3 linked regions of the Drosophila melanogaster genome follow. The protein of the gene in region 3 interacts with the protein of the main gene of each other region in a biochemical or structural test. Each region holds a gene or a part of one and is shown on either strand. Other genes may lie near its edges.

Region 1 (4,593 bases), on a different chromosome or scaffold from region 3:
AACAAAATAAAAAGTAAACTCAATAATAAATAAATGAGAGCAAACTTATTCATCAAATATGAAGAGTGCTATGTAGTATTAAATGCAGTTTTTATCGGGACTGGTTATGAACTTTGTATTGTATGCACATAAATAATCTTGCGATATAAGCACAAGTTCGTATTCGCAATAAAAGATAAGCATAAAGAATATCATATACACTTTTGGGAGACACCTTTACGGTATATTTTTACATATATAGAGTAGACGTTGACTCACTTTTCGGACACGATTTTCTGATTCATAGACGCCTGGATCGAGTTCTCTAATTCGCGATACCCGTACTCTCACCTTGCTTACGTAACTGAGACCAGAGATAGCCGACTTCATTAGTCATTTATAATTTTTTATCAAATTCACCTGCACATAAAGTTTCCCTTGCTAATCTAATTATCAAATGGGGCAAGGCTACTAATTTATTTTTAAATTGCTACAAAGCTTTTCTCACTAATTTCTATCGTAAAAAAAGGCCCCTTTGTTTTTTTAATAAAGCAATTATCATCTAATCGATAAGTGACGCTTTGATGTGGATTGGTATGAGATTAGAAAGTTTGGGGCTCGAAAAACAAATCCGTAGCACGCAAATGACCATATTTTTAAGTTAACTGACGCGTGTGGAATTGTTTACAAAAAACATCTGTTAGGACACACGTTTTTGGTTAAATAGACTTTGCGACATCGACGCGGTGCCTATTCTTTGTCTATTGTTTGGCGTCATCAACTTGAAAACATCTCTTTAGATAAGAAATTTTGCACGCGCAAAATAAAAAAAAAAGAAGAACGCCAAATGCTCATTGATAAATCATTGGCAAATCGAAGGCAAAAAAACAACAAAGTCGACTTGTCGAAAGAGGAAGTCGAGCATAAAAACATTGAGAAAGAAGGCAAAAATAGGCGGAGCAAAATATTTCGCGTTTTTTTGTATAATGTAGCATGCGGTTTTTCGTAGAATTCTTAACCGGTTTCGGTACAGTTTTGTATTTGGTTTATAGAGCCGCACTAAAGATTGTTTATAGACAAAGTGAATATCTCCTACACATTTTCCCATACCTATACATATGTACTTTCGGACATTATCGACGAATCCAATCTAGTCACATGCCGTCTGTCTTCTGGGTTCGAAATCAAATTGTTGTTAATGACTTTGCGCCGCGTGTGGCGTCTCTCCCACTAAGTTTTGCATTTAAAAATAGGAATTATTGTAGGTCTACACCGGGATTTTCCTTTGTCTATGTAGGGGGTATTCTCACAATGGACGTACCATTCGATTGATCGCCCTGGATAAAGGTGTTTTTAACTTGAATAACCATTTTATACTTATATACTCATATACATAAATATATTCTCCTATTGATCACGGTTTGGAAACATTGTGTTTTTCACTATACTCATCCGATTTGAGTTTTTATTTTTACAGACTCGTATTATTTCCTGCCCATTTAAGGCTATTAGGCGAGTGTGCGACTATTTTGCGCAGTTGAATGAGCAGCATATGAATCTTGATTTATGCAAAAACTGCGACTTGCGCTTCAAGACACTTTTCAATTGTCTGGCTTACACAATAATATATAAAATACTCGAAATAGAAACAAAGGCGTGTTTGTTTTTTGTTGTTGCTGCTTTGGCTTGCGTGTGCGCTTTGGTATTTCCATTTATTAAATTTGTATGCATACCTCCTCCTCTCTCCCAAAAATGCGAAGAGATGAGCAAAGAAGAAGGGGCGAAAGATAAAGAGCAATAACCAAGTTGCACTTGAATCTCATTTAGGTACCGAGTTCAAATCCGTTGCGGGTAAAAAGAAAAAAAAAACCAGTTTACTTGGAAGTGCGTGGGATTATTTGACACCCTTTGTGATCCCTTTTTTCCTGCACTTTGTATTGTTTTCGGTTTTACAATGCATATTGAATAGTTCGTCGGAAAAGGAAACTTGCAATTTGCTTAAATGGCTCGTAAATTGATTTTCTGTGTTGGTTTTTGCTGTTGTATCGTTTTTGAAAACCAACAAAGCGTAAAAAAGGTTCACGCAATAAATGAGTAACGAAATGCAATGCAAAAACGCCTGTTTCCTATTTCCAAAATACAGTGCTCTATGTTTTTTGCTTGTAAGTTGTAAACATATTTTTGTATGAAAATCTAGGTGCACATTTATCACTTTGGTACAGTGGATACCCTCGGTCTTCACAATTCACCGAATCGGGTATGCACTGTACCAACAAAAACTGCACTGCAAAGAAGAGCAGGTGATAGAGAGAACTAGCAAGCAAACCAAAAACAAAGCAGCCTGAATATTGTTATTGTCATTAAAATACCGTTCCATTCAGTGCCAGGTACGAAAGAGAGAGGCATACAATGAGAGAGAGAGGGGGAGAAAATAGGAAGGACAGCAGGCAAATTGCCGAAGGAAAATCACCTGAATTTGGGGATCCAGCTCGCCGTCTTCTGCACTCGACATTTTTACTGGTTTTCACTGAATTCGTTCCAAATGCAAATATATCGCTAAACGCGTTAATTTTCACTTTTCTGCAGCCCGCTTTTCAATTGAAAAACGCTTTTGCATTTCACTATTTGATCTCGTTGCTACACAGACACATCCCACGACTATCAATTTGCTTGTGTGTTTTGTTTTTCTTTTTTTTTTCTGTGTTTTTTTCTATAATATTATGTAAATTGGTGTTGGCAATTTTAACTGGCAATTTGCTATGCGGGTACAGCAGCAGTATTAAAACAAATATTTCATTTTGCGTCTTATGTTTCACAACGAAGTTAAAAGCGAAAAGGGAAAGGGACACATGGCGATTACATTAAGTGTGAACAAGACGAACGGTACAAGTGGACAGGGCACGCGGCTTTTCACCTTCTCCTTCGCTCGGGGCATCTAAGATATTTAATTAACTCGCTTATAAAGGCTAAACTATCCTAAAAATTAAAGACGCGTCCAGACGCGACGAAATGAGAAGCTGAATTCGGTGTGACCGCAGCGCGGTGTTACCAGATAGTGAAATGCTGACCAGCAGTTGCTGAAATAAACATTTGGTATTTTTATTGTATTGGTATATTTCATTACAACGCTGGCATTGTTGCCAACTATTTTCAAGAAAAATAAACAATTAAAAAAATGTTTGATTTTCATTGCACCAGTTTGATAATGTAACAATTTATATTTAAAAAAATGCTAAGTTAACATATTAGTCTTCAAAATTACTCTTGGCGGGCTTGGTATTTTCTCTTACCATTACGTCATATGCCTCATCTACATAACCATCACATCACGTTACGTAGTTGATTCACTTCGTAACGTTATGAATAATTAAAAAAATTTTGTTTCAAAAAGGATTTTTGTTAAAGTTGCTAAATACGTATTAATGAAATATAAATAAATAGGTCTGACTAAGTAACAAAATATGCATTAAAACCAGAAACATTTTACTATGAAAGTTTACTTTATTTGTTATTTGTTTTCATCATTTTTGTTTTGCCCTTTATGTGCTTTACATGTTTGTGATTTTTTCGTATTTAATTTGTTTACTTTTCCTTATATGCGTTTATAAATCGAATACTCCAATTTCCTCTAATGATATGCGCACCAAACATATTTTTAACTGAGCGCAATTAACAGAAAACCGAAAATACTCTCAAAAAACAAAATTTTCACTAAAAGATTTTTATTTATGTAAATTATAAAGAAGAAGGCAATTCAGTTGTATACCACGGAATTTCATACGTTATTCAGCATCAATGCCCGATTAAACATAATTTATAAAGATGGATTCGTTTCCTTCTTTTATTTTTGATTTCTTAATTTAACGCTAATATAAGATTTATATTTTATATAATGCATCTTTTTACTTTGTATGGAATAACACTTAATTATACATTCATTTCATATAGTTTGATTTTAGTTGTAATCATAACAAAAAGAAACATTTCTGTGCAGCGTGATTTGAAAAAAATGAACAAAGAACTAAGGTACAAAATTCTAGAATAATACAATTTGAAATTGTCTGAATGGGATCTTTAAATAGTAGTTCTTGCCTGACTTTCATTGTGTTTGTTTAAGAGTGTGCCGTGTGGTTTATTTGTTGATTCCTCCTCTGTCGTATAGTATCAAACCACTAAATACTTGTCCATATAAATGATTTCGTTTAAATATTTATTTATATATCGAATTATATATATTTTATGCTATATAATAACTATGCAAGTTCTGCATATATGCATGTTGCGCTTCATTTACCATTCTTTTACTTGGTTATTTTCATTTTGTATTGTTAACACTCATAGTTTCGGGAATGGGAGGAGAGTTTAGGAAAAGTACAAAAGTATACATGGTTTGTCCAAAGCTTTTCAGTTGTAGTTGCTTTTTACTACACAGTGTGCATATCGAAATGATACAGAATACGATCCAATATAAATGCTTCTCCACACGCAATTGGAATAAGAAATACAAAAACAAATTGAACTTAACTAAGTTGAAGTACATAAAACATTACAAGATACACCACAACTTCTAAATTCAGCTACACTACGATTTGTTGTTTGATTGGAGATTTATTC
Region 2 (7,234 bases), on a different chromosome or scaffold from region 3:
CTTGCAAATTTTCCACAGTTGAAAACTGCTAGTTGATTTAACGGATAGTATAAGAGCACTTCTTTGTTCACATCCTTTTTGGCCTAATGTATTTTTGCAATAATTTGTGCGCTGCGCCCTGCTTTTTATCATACTTTATGTCATTGAAAGATTATTATATTATAACCTAAATGTTTCGTGTGAGAATTACTCGACTTATATGGTATATTGCCCCTTCAACTATCGAAAGAAATGCAAACACTGCAAAACAAAAACACATTTATTGAGAATGAAAAACGGAATAAAAACTGTATTAAAAAGCGAATCAAAAATTGGGCTATGCTTTCAAGTAGATAAGTTAAATCGGATTGGTCGTCACACCGGAAAGAATCCTATTTCTCCTCCGACGATTGTCCACTTTTGCTTTCCCCCTTTTATTAAAACTCATCACCCATTTTTCATTAAATGTTTTATATTTTTCCTCTGATTTATGGAGGGGTACAACCGAAATTGCAATAAACTTTCAATTTTGCGTCAGTTATATATTTTATATTTGTATTTTATTAGGCCTTTAAATATCTAAGAATTAGTATTATTTGACGTGCACAGTTTACATTTACATAATTTTTCTTTTCTTGCTGTCCACTTCTTGTCGTTCTTTATTTTTCTTTTAGCAGTTAGAAAAGGTTTTTCAACTTCAATGTTCCCGAAATTCAATAACAATTTAAATTAAAACATTGCCTAGATTGAATGTCGCTCCGTGTCAAATTGTCTGCATGTCTGTCTGTTCATGTGGGTGGGTGCATACTTAAGGTCGAACGTACTAAGGTAAAATTGCGGAGCTCGAGAAACGTTTTGAACTGATTTTCTACGCGCAATCGAATACATGGAAAGGGCTCGAAAATACTTGACAATCAAAAATAGAATTGAAAAGTTTTGATAAAATATATATAGGATATTTGACAATAGACAATCGCACGCAGCTTGCCCAGACTTTATCAAAGTTTTCTTGTTGGCGCTTACAATTAGTGCTAGATATATAATTACAAAAACAATGCTGCAGCTTTAAATTTTCCATCATACATTTTGATTTGCATTGCCAGAGAAATCATCAACTAAACTCTATGTGTCGTGGAACACAACTTACTGATTATGATTGCAAAACATTGGCATGTATTATTATGCTCAACAGAACAGGAAAAAATTAAAGGACAATGGAGCGTTTGATTGGTATTATTGAAGTGTTGATAAACATATGTATATTTAAATAGGAATTATGGCTGCTTTATAGTCTCGCTTAAAAAATATATATTACTGAAACAGATATTTGGGGTGGTTGCCATTTAAGAAAATCCTATCGCCCGATTCGGTTCCACTCACAGCAAAGTTTCTAAAACAAAAGCAGCAAAATGTATTCCAGATGTGGGTCTGTATTTCTGTGTTGGGGTGTGTGTTGTGTGTGTGTGTGTGCTATTGAGAGGAGCGTAGAGGATCAGAGGATCGTCTATTTCGTGAACGCCATGAACACCGCCCACAGAATTTCGTTCGCATTCGGCTTGGCCGACTCGGCTTCGAAGTCGAGATCCAGCAGCTCCCGCACCCGCTTCATGGCCACCTCATAGTCGTCATCATTCAGCGGCGCGAAGGCGTTCTCGATCACATCGCTGGCGTGCGCCAGGAAGATAAGCGCCAGCATCCGCTTGTCCATGCGCTGTGGATCGTTGACCCACTTGGAGAGCACAGAATCTTGGATCTGAAGTCATACATTTCGGATTCAGTTTTAGAATTCTTGAATATATCCAAGTCTAGTTACGCACCTTCTTCACCAGGCGACATTTGACAACATTGTCGCTCAGCGGATGTGTCGTCATATCGAAGAGTAGAAAATTTTGCTTTTCCGTCGTGAGCACACCCTTCTCCACCAGATTTTTGGCCAGACGTTCGCGTACATTTTTCAGTTGGTAGCGCAATTTCAACGGATTCCAGGTTTCACCTGCCACAACAATAGGTTATACAAAACATACTTGGCGAAATGGCAGGCGCCTAAATACACACCACTAAGATATTCAATCCAGCTCTGCACCGTCTCCGGGGGATCTGTTTCCTTAATGTGTTTAAGTGCCTCATCGAGTAGAACGTCTCCCGTCTGCTGATCCGATTTCAGTATTAATTTCCTGTTGGCGAATTGAAGTTAGCATGCTTCTGAAAGGATGTGGAAACTAGATTTCTATACATACCTTGTACATAGACCACGTCGCCGCATTCCAGATTTCTCGATCATCACGCGACCTCGCAGTCCAAGCTCTATGAGAATGCATCCGCGCAAGCCGCTTGATATGCAGTCGTTCCAGAAAGATGTGTAGCCCTGAAAGTAATTAAAAATGCTATTAGATTCAAGCTATTTGATTGGCCTGGATGGGCATCTAAAAATAAGAATGTGTGAATGCGTTACTTGTTTATTTTTTAAAATTTTATTAAATTCTATCTAACATAAATGTAAGTACAAACTTCATTAACAAATGGTTACTGTCTCATGTTTCAAGGTTTTGAAATATATTTGAGCAAGTCTATGGTTTGGCCTTTTCACTTGTGTTGGGCGTAAAAGAAATGAATAATTACCCTGTTGCCGGGGTCGTAAAGCTCCCAGACGAAAGTATTCAGTTGTTAAAACATTAAACACTTGAGTTTGTTTAGGCCTTGCCCACAGAAGTGTATGAACTGTCAATTTAAAAAATACAATGCTTATCTAGCTAGTATAAATGAAAAAACGAACAAGAAGAGTTATGTTATAACCACATAAAAAATCAATTACAAAAATTACTCTTGTTATTAACGCTTGAAAAGCTATGATAATTGGAAGGTATAGATAGATACCTCAACCACGTTTCAATGCCATTTCACGATTTTAAAATAATTTATATAACAATCGCTCAGATGATTGATAAGGAATCGTTCCGAACGAAAGGTATAAAAGTGAATCATTTGCAAAGAACACGTCGCTTATCAGTTCGGCAGTTCGAGATATTGAAATTTTCCTAATGGATGGTGTGGGTAGAAGCCAAGTACTTTGTATAATTTCGAAAATGAGTGACGTACTGACATAAGAAAAGCCCGAAACGGATGAGAGCTAGGCAGAGGAGAGCAGCACTTGATAGTATGTACTTCCTCAAACAATTAACCAAATGGACAAAATCTTCGCGATAAGAGCGCTCGGAAGGGGAATGTAAAACAAAAGCGGGCAACACGTCCCACTGTTTCCAGCTCGTATCCCTCTTATGCGAAGGGAGAGGAGGTGGCAGGGATGGAGGTGTGGGTGGTCACACAAATACACTGCGGGCAAAATGATGAAAACAAATAGACGTGGTGCCAGCCACAAAGGCACATGTGTGCATTCCTATGTGGTACAAGCGAACAGCAATTGAGCGATAAAGCTGTGTGCCAAGTGAAATATAAAAACCGAATTCAATGGAGAAATGCGAATCTGCCTGTTCGCCATAATGGGTCACGTATGGATGATGGTTCGCATTTACGGACATCATCCCGCGCTATACGTAGATTTATGAATATTACAAACCTATGCAAATTAACCACTTATTGGAAAACTCGTTTGACGAAACCGTTCTCCGTGCTGCGCGGAGTGAAGTTCTCGAAGAGATATGTATGTATTTATAGCCACAACTGCCAACCGAAGAAGTATTAGAGCGCTATCTTTCCAACAACTAAGAACGTTGGCAACAATTCTAAGAATCTTTTTGATTTGGCACTGGAAGCAATTGCGCGATAGTGTAACACATAAAATAAACCTATTATATACTATATATAAATATATCATCACTTATTTGGGAAGTACATCAAAGTATTACAAAGGGCAAGTAATGGGTTCTATAGATTAGAATGAACGGCTGATTAGACCTTAACAGATGGAGCACACTATTAATTAATGCAAAAACAAAAGTGGTTAAGAAAATGGTGTTGGCAGTCTCACTGATTGCGCATTAGTCAGCAGGCTGGTCAAAAGATTTCATAGTGCATTGCTTAACAAACTGGAAAAGCTAAGAGAAGTGGCTAAGACATGGCATAAAATGTTTATCTGTAGGACAGATAAACATTGTTGCCCCCATAACTGAAGTGATAAGTTACCCCCCTGTATCCAATTTTCACTACGCCCCTGCTGGAAGATGGACTGCGTTGCACTTGGGGCCAAGCAAGAGGTTGCGAAAGAGAGAAATCGTGAGAGCGACAGAGAGAGAGAGACGTCGGTTAACAGGTGAAGAAGAAGCACTTATGTTGCGAAAGAAACCAATTAATTAGTGCATCCCAAGCAGATAAGAGATAAGGAGCACACCCACCTCCTTGTCCTTGAGTCCCAGCAGCAGAACCTCCTCCATGAGCGTTAGTCGTGTTTCCTTGGAGTCGCCATCGTCGATATTGTCCTCCTGGTCCTTTAGGTTGTCCAGTGCATCCTGGTTGTCGTCCGGCGTGTTGGCATTCAACCCACCCTCCGCCCCACCGTTTTCGCGGGGTTTCACCGAGCGACGCACCAATCCGTCGGAGCGATTCATTCCGGAGAGTTGGGTTGGGTAGTCGGGAAGTTCGGATCGATGGAGTTTTGGAGATGTGGGATGCGAGCGGAGCACCTATGTTTTTCTGCTGCTGCTCTTCTTCCTCTTTCCTCGTTTTGTGTGTGTGGCACAATTTGCTGACTCGACGTTGGGAGTTTCACAGTGTGTGTGTGTGTCTGTTTGCGCGAGTGCGGGTGTTTGCGTTTTTCTCTGTGTACTTGTGTCTTGTGTTTTTGTGTGTTGTTGTTTTCACTGACTCTTTTGCGCCCCCTTTATTTTGTATTCTTTTGCACACACGCACTTTTCACACTATCGCAAAAATGCAGGCCCTAAACTGCGTTTCGTTGTTGCTGCTTTGCTCGGCGTTTTTGCGCTGGGAACTCGACGGTTTGATTTACAATTTGGTGGCCCGTACTAATGGTGCATTTGCATTGGCCTTGCATTTACTGGGAATATGCGAGTGCCTGCGCGAAATAAGCTTTTTCCTATTATTTGTGTCTTTTGTCGACGTTCCGACGTGACATGATTTCCGCACTTTTCAGTACTGGCAATTTTCCAGACCTTAAGTGTTGGATAACGTTTTGCTTCTAGAGGTGCTGTTAAAACGAAATTAATTTAACTTTTACTCTTAATTTTTTGTAATTCAGCTTAATTTATTTAATCGTAAAGTTTTTGTTTGAATGATATTACAGTTCCTTGTCCATACTAAGGGTTTGGTAATGTTATGAATCCGAACCGATAGTTTGTCCGATAGTTGTAATCGCTGTATGACTCATCTCTAACGGAAACACAAAATAAAACCTACTACAATTTGTTGCATTTTGCCTAAATTCGTCACAAACACTGCCGTTAAAACGTTTATAATGTCCTACTTGACCAATTTCAACAGTGATACTGCCAAGCAAATTCTTATGGACATAATACGCTGTGTAAATCAGCCGGAAAACTCGAAGAAACTCTCAGAGGCAAAGGCTTCCGCTGGAAAAGAGATGATTCTCATGATGCAGCACGTAAATACCAAGCAAATCAAAACAAATAACCAAATAGTTTAACATAATACATTGCAGGTTTTTCCATTGGTGATGCAACTCCAACTGGAGGTCATTAAGGGTCATGGGTTTCCTGGAAACCGCGAGGGATTAGTCCAGTTCTCCCAGCTCATCAGAGAAATGGAAAGGGACGACATGGAAATCGTACGCCTGCGCAGTCAGATCCGCGCCATATACCTGCCCCCCATAGCTATAAACACCACCAACGACATCCTAATCTAAGCGTGGGGTAAATCCCCCAAACAAGACTGCAATTCTGCCCCCCGGTGGGTTTTTTAATATACTTTAAGCGACTTTTAATATTTGTAGCCCTTTTCATTTGAAGAAACTATATTCATTTTCAATTATGCCTTAACGTCATCTAGAAAATCTTATTTTCAAAGAATATTGAAATACTTCTCTAATACAGATTTCTGAAACAGGCCACCAAAATAGACTTAAGCTTGATATTCTTATAAAATGCATTTCTTTTGATAAGTTTGTGATCTTTTTTGTGTATTTTTTGTTGATGTACAAATGTTTTTCTTGTTCTTGCTAACAATAAGTAACATGGCAAAGGTTGCTATAAACAATTAAGGATCTGTGCCGTTCCATCGTCAGCTTTTAGGATCTAGGATATGTCGATCAGTCACGGCGATAAATTAAACAGTTTTCTTTCGTACCTATACAATAAGTTCCTTAAGAGCTATACTTTTATGTACACGTCAAGTAGTGAGCTGCTCGTCCAGCCTTCATCTTATAAACAATTAGGCGAGGATAATTAGTAACAATGTGAAATCCTAATGCGCGCTAGCACCATTTGTGGTGCTGGCATTATTGTTATTCCCGTTTTCGAGGTCTGTAGCCGTCAGTTTAGCCGGATTAATGTTTTTTATGTCGTTTCCGTTCAGTTTATGCTGCAAATGCTGCAGCTGCTGGGCGAGGTGCTCGTTCTCCGCCTGCGTAATGCTGTCAACATCAATGGACATCGACATAGGTGAGTGGGGCGTAAGCGGAGTCACTGGATTGCTGACGCACAACTCCTCAATGGTGGAGTCGCTGTTACTTGAGGGCGTCGAGGAGCGTGACCGCACTGGATACGAATCGTCCAGGGGCAGAGCAAAGCCCTGGGTGATCATCAGATCGGCAATATTTAGTTCAGAGTTGTCGGCTGGATCGAATAGTTCCACTCCGGGCAGCGGGGTTCCCTCCTTGGCAGCAGCACTTACAGCGGTGGTTGCCCGTGGACGCTCCTTGTAGGTCACCACTCGAGCAATCAGCTTTCTCCAATGTGCCACTACAAATGTTCGGTGTTTAGTCAAAAATATATCTAGCAACTGTTGCTGAAATCATACCCTCTGTCAGCTCTTCGAACTTTGCGATTGAAGACTTTGGCCACGTAATAGGCTCCGTCTGGATGGTAGATTTTACATTGGCCAAGAAGCATTCAACGGCTTGGAACCTAAAATAGTGAAATATAAATTTATGTCTATCCAATCAGTCGAACTGCTTACCTGAGCGTGAGGAAATCAGTGCGCAGCTCGCAGATATCAGCTGGCGAAATATATTCGCTATCTCCATAGTCCACGAAGTAGAGATCGATCACCTGCTCCTTTGGATTGTACTGGTTAGGCATAATGTCCACGATTTCTGCGCGATACCACT
Region 3 (6,860 bases):
GATGAAACAAACAAACCTTGAAAGTCAGGGAAGGACCGCGCGGCAAGCGGACCACTTTGAAGGACAGCTGCGTGGAGGCCTTGTTGAAGATGCCCATGTGCGAGACGTGGAAGAAGCTGCTCAGGCTGACAAAGTCCTTGATGCGGTTCATCCGCTTCTCGCGCAGATTGCTGGCCGTAAAGGGCTCCATAATGCGGCGGAAGTCCAGGGTGAGGTCCGTGATGTACGGACAGGCGAGGCCGCGATGGATGACGAAGGAGTGCGGCGCCTCCACGATCTCGCTCGGCTCGCTGGCCTTGAAGGCCGCCGTGCGCGTCTTCGGATGCACTTTCTTCTTACCGCCCATGTTTCAATGTTTTTGTTCACTTTTCTCCCGCACGTGTATGGATCAGTGTGGCTGCTCGCGCGGAAAATACCAAACACCCACTCCGACGTCTGCCTTTGGTCACTCTAATCCCATTTTAAATTTCGATTTTCCGCCCAATTGAAAGCACTTCTGTTTTATTTAAATTATATTTATTTAATCACACTTAACATAGCAAACACAAATGATGTTATTTCGTTTCATTTATGCATTTAAAGTTTTACAACTGTTTTTGTTTGATTTCTCTTTATCAGCTAGTTTTACCAAGTGGCCAATCGTTTAAAATGTTGCGAGAAACCGAAGAAGAAAATCCGAGCTGCAGTGCTGTGGTAATGAATTTGCGTTTAAGTCGAAGAATTTCCGGTTGTTTGTTGTTGTTCTGCTCGCGAAATTACAACTATATATTTATGTTGCGAAAAATTAATAATATTAATATTTTAATATTAGCATATATGTATATTTATATAAATTATAGTTCTACAGCTTAAACTGAATTTGGAGTGTTTAGTTTTGCTTGCTTTCTTTCCGCGGCGGTCGATTTATGCGATACTCATGGATCTGTATATATATAAAACTTCAGTTTAAACCGCAGTTAACTACAGCCGGATGTTGTTGCTTTCGATTCTTTTGCTGCTGCTGCTGCTTCTGATGATGGTGGTGGTGTTGGTGGTGGAGAGTGGCGGCTCAGATTTGAATTATCAATTTATGCGCACATGACAAACTGTGGCTGACAAACGCATAGACATCTTGTGCGGTCCATCGGGTGTACGCTGCTCCTGATCTTGGTGTTGCAGTTCTGGCCGCTGCTGCTCCTCTTGTAGTCGTAGTTGTAATTGCTGTTGCTTCTGTTTATGTTGCTGTTCTGGCGGTTGCGGGGAATAGCGAAAATTGCTTGGGGCGGTCACTGACAGCACTGTTTGCGCACATCGGCGGTGACAGTCGGCTTTACGTCGATGGGCTCCACGTTCGACGGGCGGATGACGTCGCCTTCCGGCGGATCTCTGATCTGTTTCTGCGACACAATGCGATAGATCTCTGAAACGGGATTACGAGACATCATTAGTCGTGCTTCGTTATCATTAATCTATTGACTTTCAATGAAGCGTTTAATCTACAGTATTTAAATATTCTTAAACGATCGATAATTTGAAAGCAGACTAGCTAAAATATCCTGAACGACCCACCTGTGAGTATGTTCTGGAATGCCGTTTCAACGTTCGTTGAGTCGAGGGCCGAGGTTTCTATGAAACTCAAGCCGTTGCGCTCGGCAAACAGCTTCGCCTCGTCCGTGGGCACGGAGCGCAAGTGCCGCAAGTCGGACTTGTTGCCCACCAGCATGATGACGATGTTCTGGTCGGCATGGTCGCGCAATTCCCGCAGCCACCGCTCCACGTTCTCGTAGGTCAGATGCTTGGCAATGTCATAGACGAGCAGGGCCCCCACGGCACCGCGGTAGTAGGCAGAGGTGATGGCGCGATAACGCTCCTGGCCGGCCGTATCCCAGATTTGCGCTTTAATTGTTTTGCCATCGACCTGCGTTGGATGCACAAGAAGGATGAAACAAAGGACAGCATTAGAATGGTGCCAGTAATTGGCAATTTCGCCACGAAATGCCTGCGGCGCATTCGCTTTGAAAATTAATATACAAGCACTGGCATTCAGTATTCACACATAACCAACATAAATTAGAGCTTATGGATAAGCTTTTAACTCTAGTAAGAGAACCCAATTTTTGAAATTTCTTACACTAGTTAGAAAAAACGCAAGTAGCGTAAGTTATATTCATTGAACCCATTTGATATACTAAATATTAAGATGACCTACTAAGCTACTTCGAAAAGATGGCACAAAGTATTGTTTAACACAAATCCTTATACATACGTAATATATAATTGTTATTGACCACATAAATTTATTATTTCAGCACAAGTGACAACTATGATGTCAACATTTTGGCTAATCCCGTAGGATGGCTTTTGAAATTATGCAAGAAAGCCAATTGGCAATCCATTATTTAGTGAAATTCTCGACACTTACTCAAATTGAACAAACTTTTCCCCCCAATTTTCCGATAGACGCCTCAACTACGTGTCCTCCCACCGAAACGCACACGCAAGTTCACCCGTGACTTCCCCCACTGTGGGTGCGGTGCGGTAGATGTGTGGGGGTGGAGCTCCATGGGCCACTCCACCCTCGAATTCTTGGCCAGCGTACTCACCTCTATGCTGCGCGTTGCAAACTCAACGCCAATCGTCGACTTGGACTCCAAGTTGAATTCATTGCGCGTGAAACGTGAGAGCAAATTACTTTTGCCAACACCGGAGTCACCGATAAGGACAACTGCAAAGGATTAGAGGGAATTAGTGACATCGACATTGGCATTGGATAATCGAAGACCCCCAGTTGCATAATTTATGTGGGTGTGTGGTGTGGCGTGGCGTGGCATGGCCCCTGTCTTGTGTTTTACGGCCGGACAGAATGGTCGCTGGTGGCCCGGCTAGGTCATGTCCTCCTTTCGCCGCTGGCACGGCGCACCAAGGTCAGCGAGTACATAAAACCGCCATGCTCGGGGGATTTCAGGCCATGGAAAGAAATGTTTTATGATTGGGCCAGTCGACGTTAGGGAGTTCGTGTTATTGTGCTTCATTGCCGATAGCAAACATTTCTTGGATAATTGAGTGGCGGATATTTGAGGGAGCAAACAAGCATCCCAAGTTGATATGCTACCCGATAAAAACTATCCACTGACCTTTTTACGACTCCATTTCTTTTTGATAAACTTTCTTATGTGCGGCCAGAGTTGTTGGCTATAATATATATTAACTGATATCTAGACACTGTGTTTACTGACTGTCTGTCTATTAGTTTCCATTTTTGACACCCTTTTCGGACATTGTTGATTCAGCATGTTTGCTAATCCATTCAGAAAACAACAACTATAACTCATCAAACACCTTTTCGCTCTATCGCTATGGTCATCGCTGCACGGAGAAAATTCAAATAGTAAAATGGTATCATATGAACACTGATTCTTGAGTTCGAAGTTTCGATTGCAATGCCATTAAGATAGGAACTAAATATTTGAAACGACTTTTGAGCTAAGTCCAAGTTTTTGACTTAATTTAGATAGCTAAATTAGAGGGTATAGGGTTTTCTTTCAGTGTGGACAGCTGGGAGCAGCGTGGTTACAGTTATCAGCGAGAGAGCTGAGTCACTTTGTTTTCTACTCTCTTTCTCAGCGCTAATAACGATCTTTAAAGAGAAATTGCACTTAGTTAAGCGGATGCGATGAGAAATTAAAAGGGGAGGAGTGGTAATCGACGGTCATTACTTAGTAGTGGGATTGGCTCGAATAACCCGAAACGGCCCATTTTCAGTTATGTGATTATGCGCTTATCGGTGAGTGGAATTCTTCAGCAGTTATTGGCTGTGAGTCATGTCCGTTTAATATTGTTTCATGTGTGAAATTTGAGGCCTCATCATGCATACCGCACACTGACGCATTATTATGATGACTTTTTTTTTAACTTTTTGTATACTTGACCCAAAAAATACGGCAGATTAAGTTTTAAATATTTTTTTAATGACATTCAACAGTTGCTCAGCTGTGATAGCTAGCAGAGATTTCCAAGCGCAATTGGAATTTATGGCGTAGTAGCAAACGAAGGGAACAAAGAAGAGCTGAGAATTTGTGACCTCTGTTCATACATATCTACACATAAACGGGGGAAGATGCGGGATAAAAGTCTTGTTTTCTACCTGCAAATACATCATTTTGCTCTACTGTGCTTCAAACTTTCAATCGAGAGCGGGTGAAAAAGAGAGCGCGCGTGAGAGAGAGCTACTAAACGAAGTTACAAGAAACCATTGCAAAAGCCAGCTGTACAGAAATCATAATACCCACACTCTCGCTCTATTTACTGGATATCTAATCACTTTAGCATTTCGAGTGGGTGGGCAAGCCTTAAACCTACTTTACAGAGCGAGCGATTATAAATACGATCTGCTTGGCTTTTGTATGCAACGTGGCGAGACCAACGGCACTGTAATGACAAAACAAGCAGTTAACGGCAAAGTACGCGTACTCCAGTCCGAAAGAGTACCCCAAAGAGATGGAGATAGGCAGAGTGAGAGCGGGAGAGCCACCAAAGGGCATCCAACTGCAGCAGTAGCAACAACAACAAACTCGGGGGGCGTACTTCTTATTTTGGGAATTAATGACACTCACGCAAACAAACACACCACATACCATCACATGAACTTTGGGCTCTTCGAGTGCACTTTTTGTTATTCTCCAATTAGTTTCAATTAGTGCTATTGAACCACTGTCTCTCACGGCAGGGAGAGGAGAGCCTGGAAGTGCGGCTCCTCCCCTCCTGATCAACCTTCCGCGATCTTCGACCAGCGGCTAGTATCATGTTTATAATTACCTTTGAACAGATAATCGTACTCGTCTTCTCTTGCACCCATTTTGCTCAATTTGTTTTGCTATCGCTCGCTCGGTTCGATATCCTTTGGAAATCCAGTTCCGTCCTTTTTGTTTTGTGTGTGCGGGTGCTAAACGAAATCCAATAATCCCTGCGCGCCGCCGATTTCTTTAATGCGTTTGTCGTCGGCTCACACACTTTACACTTTTATTTGCAGTTGTAGTTGTAAAGAAAGAGAAAAGTGTATATATCAGTATTTAAGTGGCGAAATCGGTTGCTCTTCCAGCTCGGATGCGTTCGAAAATGCTGGCAGGACTTTTCCGGCAATTGGAGCAGTATTAATTGGAGATTTGCAGCTGCTTGCAGCGCATTTATTTGCAATTTTCTCTTACACGAAAACTTAGTCACTCCCAATAACGTCACGTTATATTTCCAACGAGACTAGAGATGTTGAAAAATATCGGTACATCGACATTATTTCGGCGATACTTATCGATTTTCTTAATGGCGATGTAAGGCGATAGTACAATGTCACTTCTATTTTTGTTTATATGAACATTGTTTTATACTCAAAAGCTTTAGAATTAGAATTAAATTTTTTCATAATTAAAACACATTAGGTCTAGAAAATAAATCTAATGTTTGTTTCCTATTTAAAAAACTTATTTGTTTTATTTTAAAACACCAACATACTTATATCATTATCGATGTTTTCACATCGACTTGCATCACTAAATTAACGAGATGGATGTTTTAGAGTTACCAGACGGTACGACGAATTATCATGAACTGCTCTCGTTTCATCCCGACAAGCCTATCGTATTTTAAAAAAGCTGAACACATTTTCTAGGGATTATCCCTAGCCCATTTAACTTATTTCCAACTCAAAATGTCTTGAATACTTAAAACGTTCCAACCTAAACAGAATCGTTCTCCCAGTAGCAGTAACTGTTTCTAATATTATCTTATTAAAAAAATTAATTAAATAGAAAACATTTCGATCCCAAGTAAAAACCCCCTGCTTACAAATCAGAGTAAAAATGTGTTTATTTTAATATAAAATACTTGTAAAAAACGATAAATTAAGTATAATGTGCAGCTAATACTTCCGTTGATCTCTAGTGAGTTTAAAAACTCTATTCCTATTGCACTTAAATGCGAGCGCGTTGCAAGGCCATGGCTGGATAAATGAGCAGAAGTCCGCCGGCTATATAGGTGATCCTGGAGCCAACGCACCAGAAGGCTATTAAGGATTAAAGAGTTTAGAAAAGGTATAATCCTAAGACAGCTGAGGAGCTCACCAATGCATCCCACCACGGGGCCCAGAGCTCGAGCCAAAGCTCCCAGTGAGCGGAATATGCCCAGTACTGAACCCTTCTGGTCATCGTTTCCGTATTTGGATACGAGGGTGGTCAGACAGGTGACAGCGAAGGCTGTGGAGATTGCGAACAGGGTCATGCCGGCGTACAGCATCCGACTGCCCTCGGCTAGGCCGACTACTACGAAGGCGGGTACAATCAGGTACAAACTGAAGATGGCATAGCCTTTGATCTTCGCCTCGGGCAGCCGTCGGACCACCGATCCCTGCAGCAAAGTCATGATTACACCTAGAAAAAGACACAAATTTGATAGGGAATATTGTAGATTATCAACTTGCTCCATACCCGTTGTCAAAAACATCTTCGCCTGATCCATCGAAGTGTAACCGAATTTGTGGTACATCAGAAATGTGACGGTGAACTCCAAGCCGGAATACAGAAAGAGATACAAGAAGTATACCAGGCCAATGGATCGCAGTGCCGCAATGTCTTTCTTAGGCACATTTTTGATGGCAGCAAATCTGTCAGTGGGAGAATTCTTTTGAAATATGATTGTAAAATCCAGACATAATCATTGGTAATAATCTTCTAGCTAACTGGACTCAATTCCCTGTAACTACAATTAATCAAAAGCAATCTAGAATTTACTAACTGATAAGGCAATCAAACAAACGTGTCCGAGAACCCGGCATGATAATAGTGTCTATCAAACCAGTCAGGCAAGTCCGGGTGGCTTGCAGTTCTCACCGT

The links. Proteins that work in one complex are often made in the same cells at the same time.
Region 1: of the proteins of Rab11 (region 3) and pcs, one has a biochemical effect on the other in vitro, tested with the Drosophila melanogaster proteins (one study listed by BioGRID).
Region 2: the proteins of Rab11 (region 3) and sau form a complex in vitro, tested with the Drosophila melanogaster proteins (one study listed by BioGRID).

What each region holds. Positions count from the first base shown.
Region 1 is NT_033778.4:14,979,680-14,984,272, reverse strand, and holds the start of pcs (parcas), read right to left. Parts: upstream 3,011-4,593; 5' UTR 2,492-3,010; coding exon 2,450-2,491; intron 1-2,449. Other genes in the region: ckn (caskin), read right to left, coding at 4,588-4,593.
Region 2 is NT_033779.5:2,224,376-2,231,609, reverse strand, and holds sau (sauron), read right to left. Parts: upstream 5,269-7,234; 5' UTR 4,542-5,268; coding exon 4,329-4,541; exon of another isoform or gene 4,305-4,328; intron 4,247-4,304; exon of another isoform or gene 4,006-4,246; intron 2,345-4,005; coding exon 2,217-2,344; intron 2,154-2,216; coding exon 2,035-2,153; intron 1,973-2,034; coding exon 1,797-1,972; intron 1,733-1,796; coding exon 1,484-1,732; 3' UTR 511-1,483; downstream 1-510. Other genes in the region: CG15387 (uncharacterized protein), read left to right, coding at 5,405-5,551, 5,609-5,812; papi, read right to left, coding at 6,370-6,866, 6,925-7,031, 7,084-7,234. UniProt on the Drosophila melanogaster protein: Phosphatidylinositol-4-phosphate-binding protein that links Golgi membranes to the cytoskeleton and may participate in the tensile force required for vesicle budding from the Golgi.
Region 3 is NT_033777.3:21,109,790-21,116,649, reverse strand, and holds Rab11 (Rab11), read right to left. Parts: upstream 5,243-6,860; 5' UTR 4,835-5,242; coding exon 4,795-4,834; intron 2,705-4,794; coding exon 2,583-2,704; intron 1,898-2,582; coding exon 1,549-1,897; intron 1,400-1,548; coding exon 1,266-1,399; 3' UTR 504-1,265; downstream 1-503. Other genes in the region: ppan (peter pan), read right to left, coding at 17-346; rtet (tetracycline resistance), read right to left, coding at 5,943-6,034, 6,093-6,398, 6,456-6,631.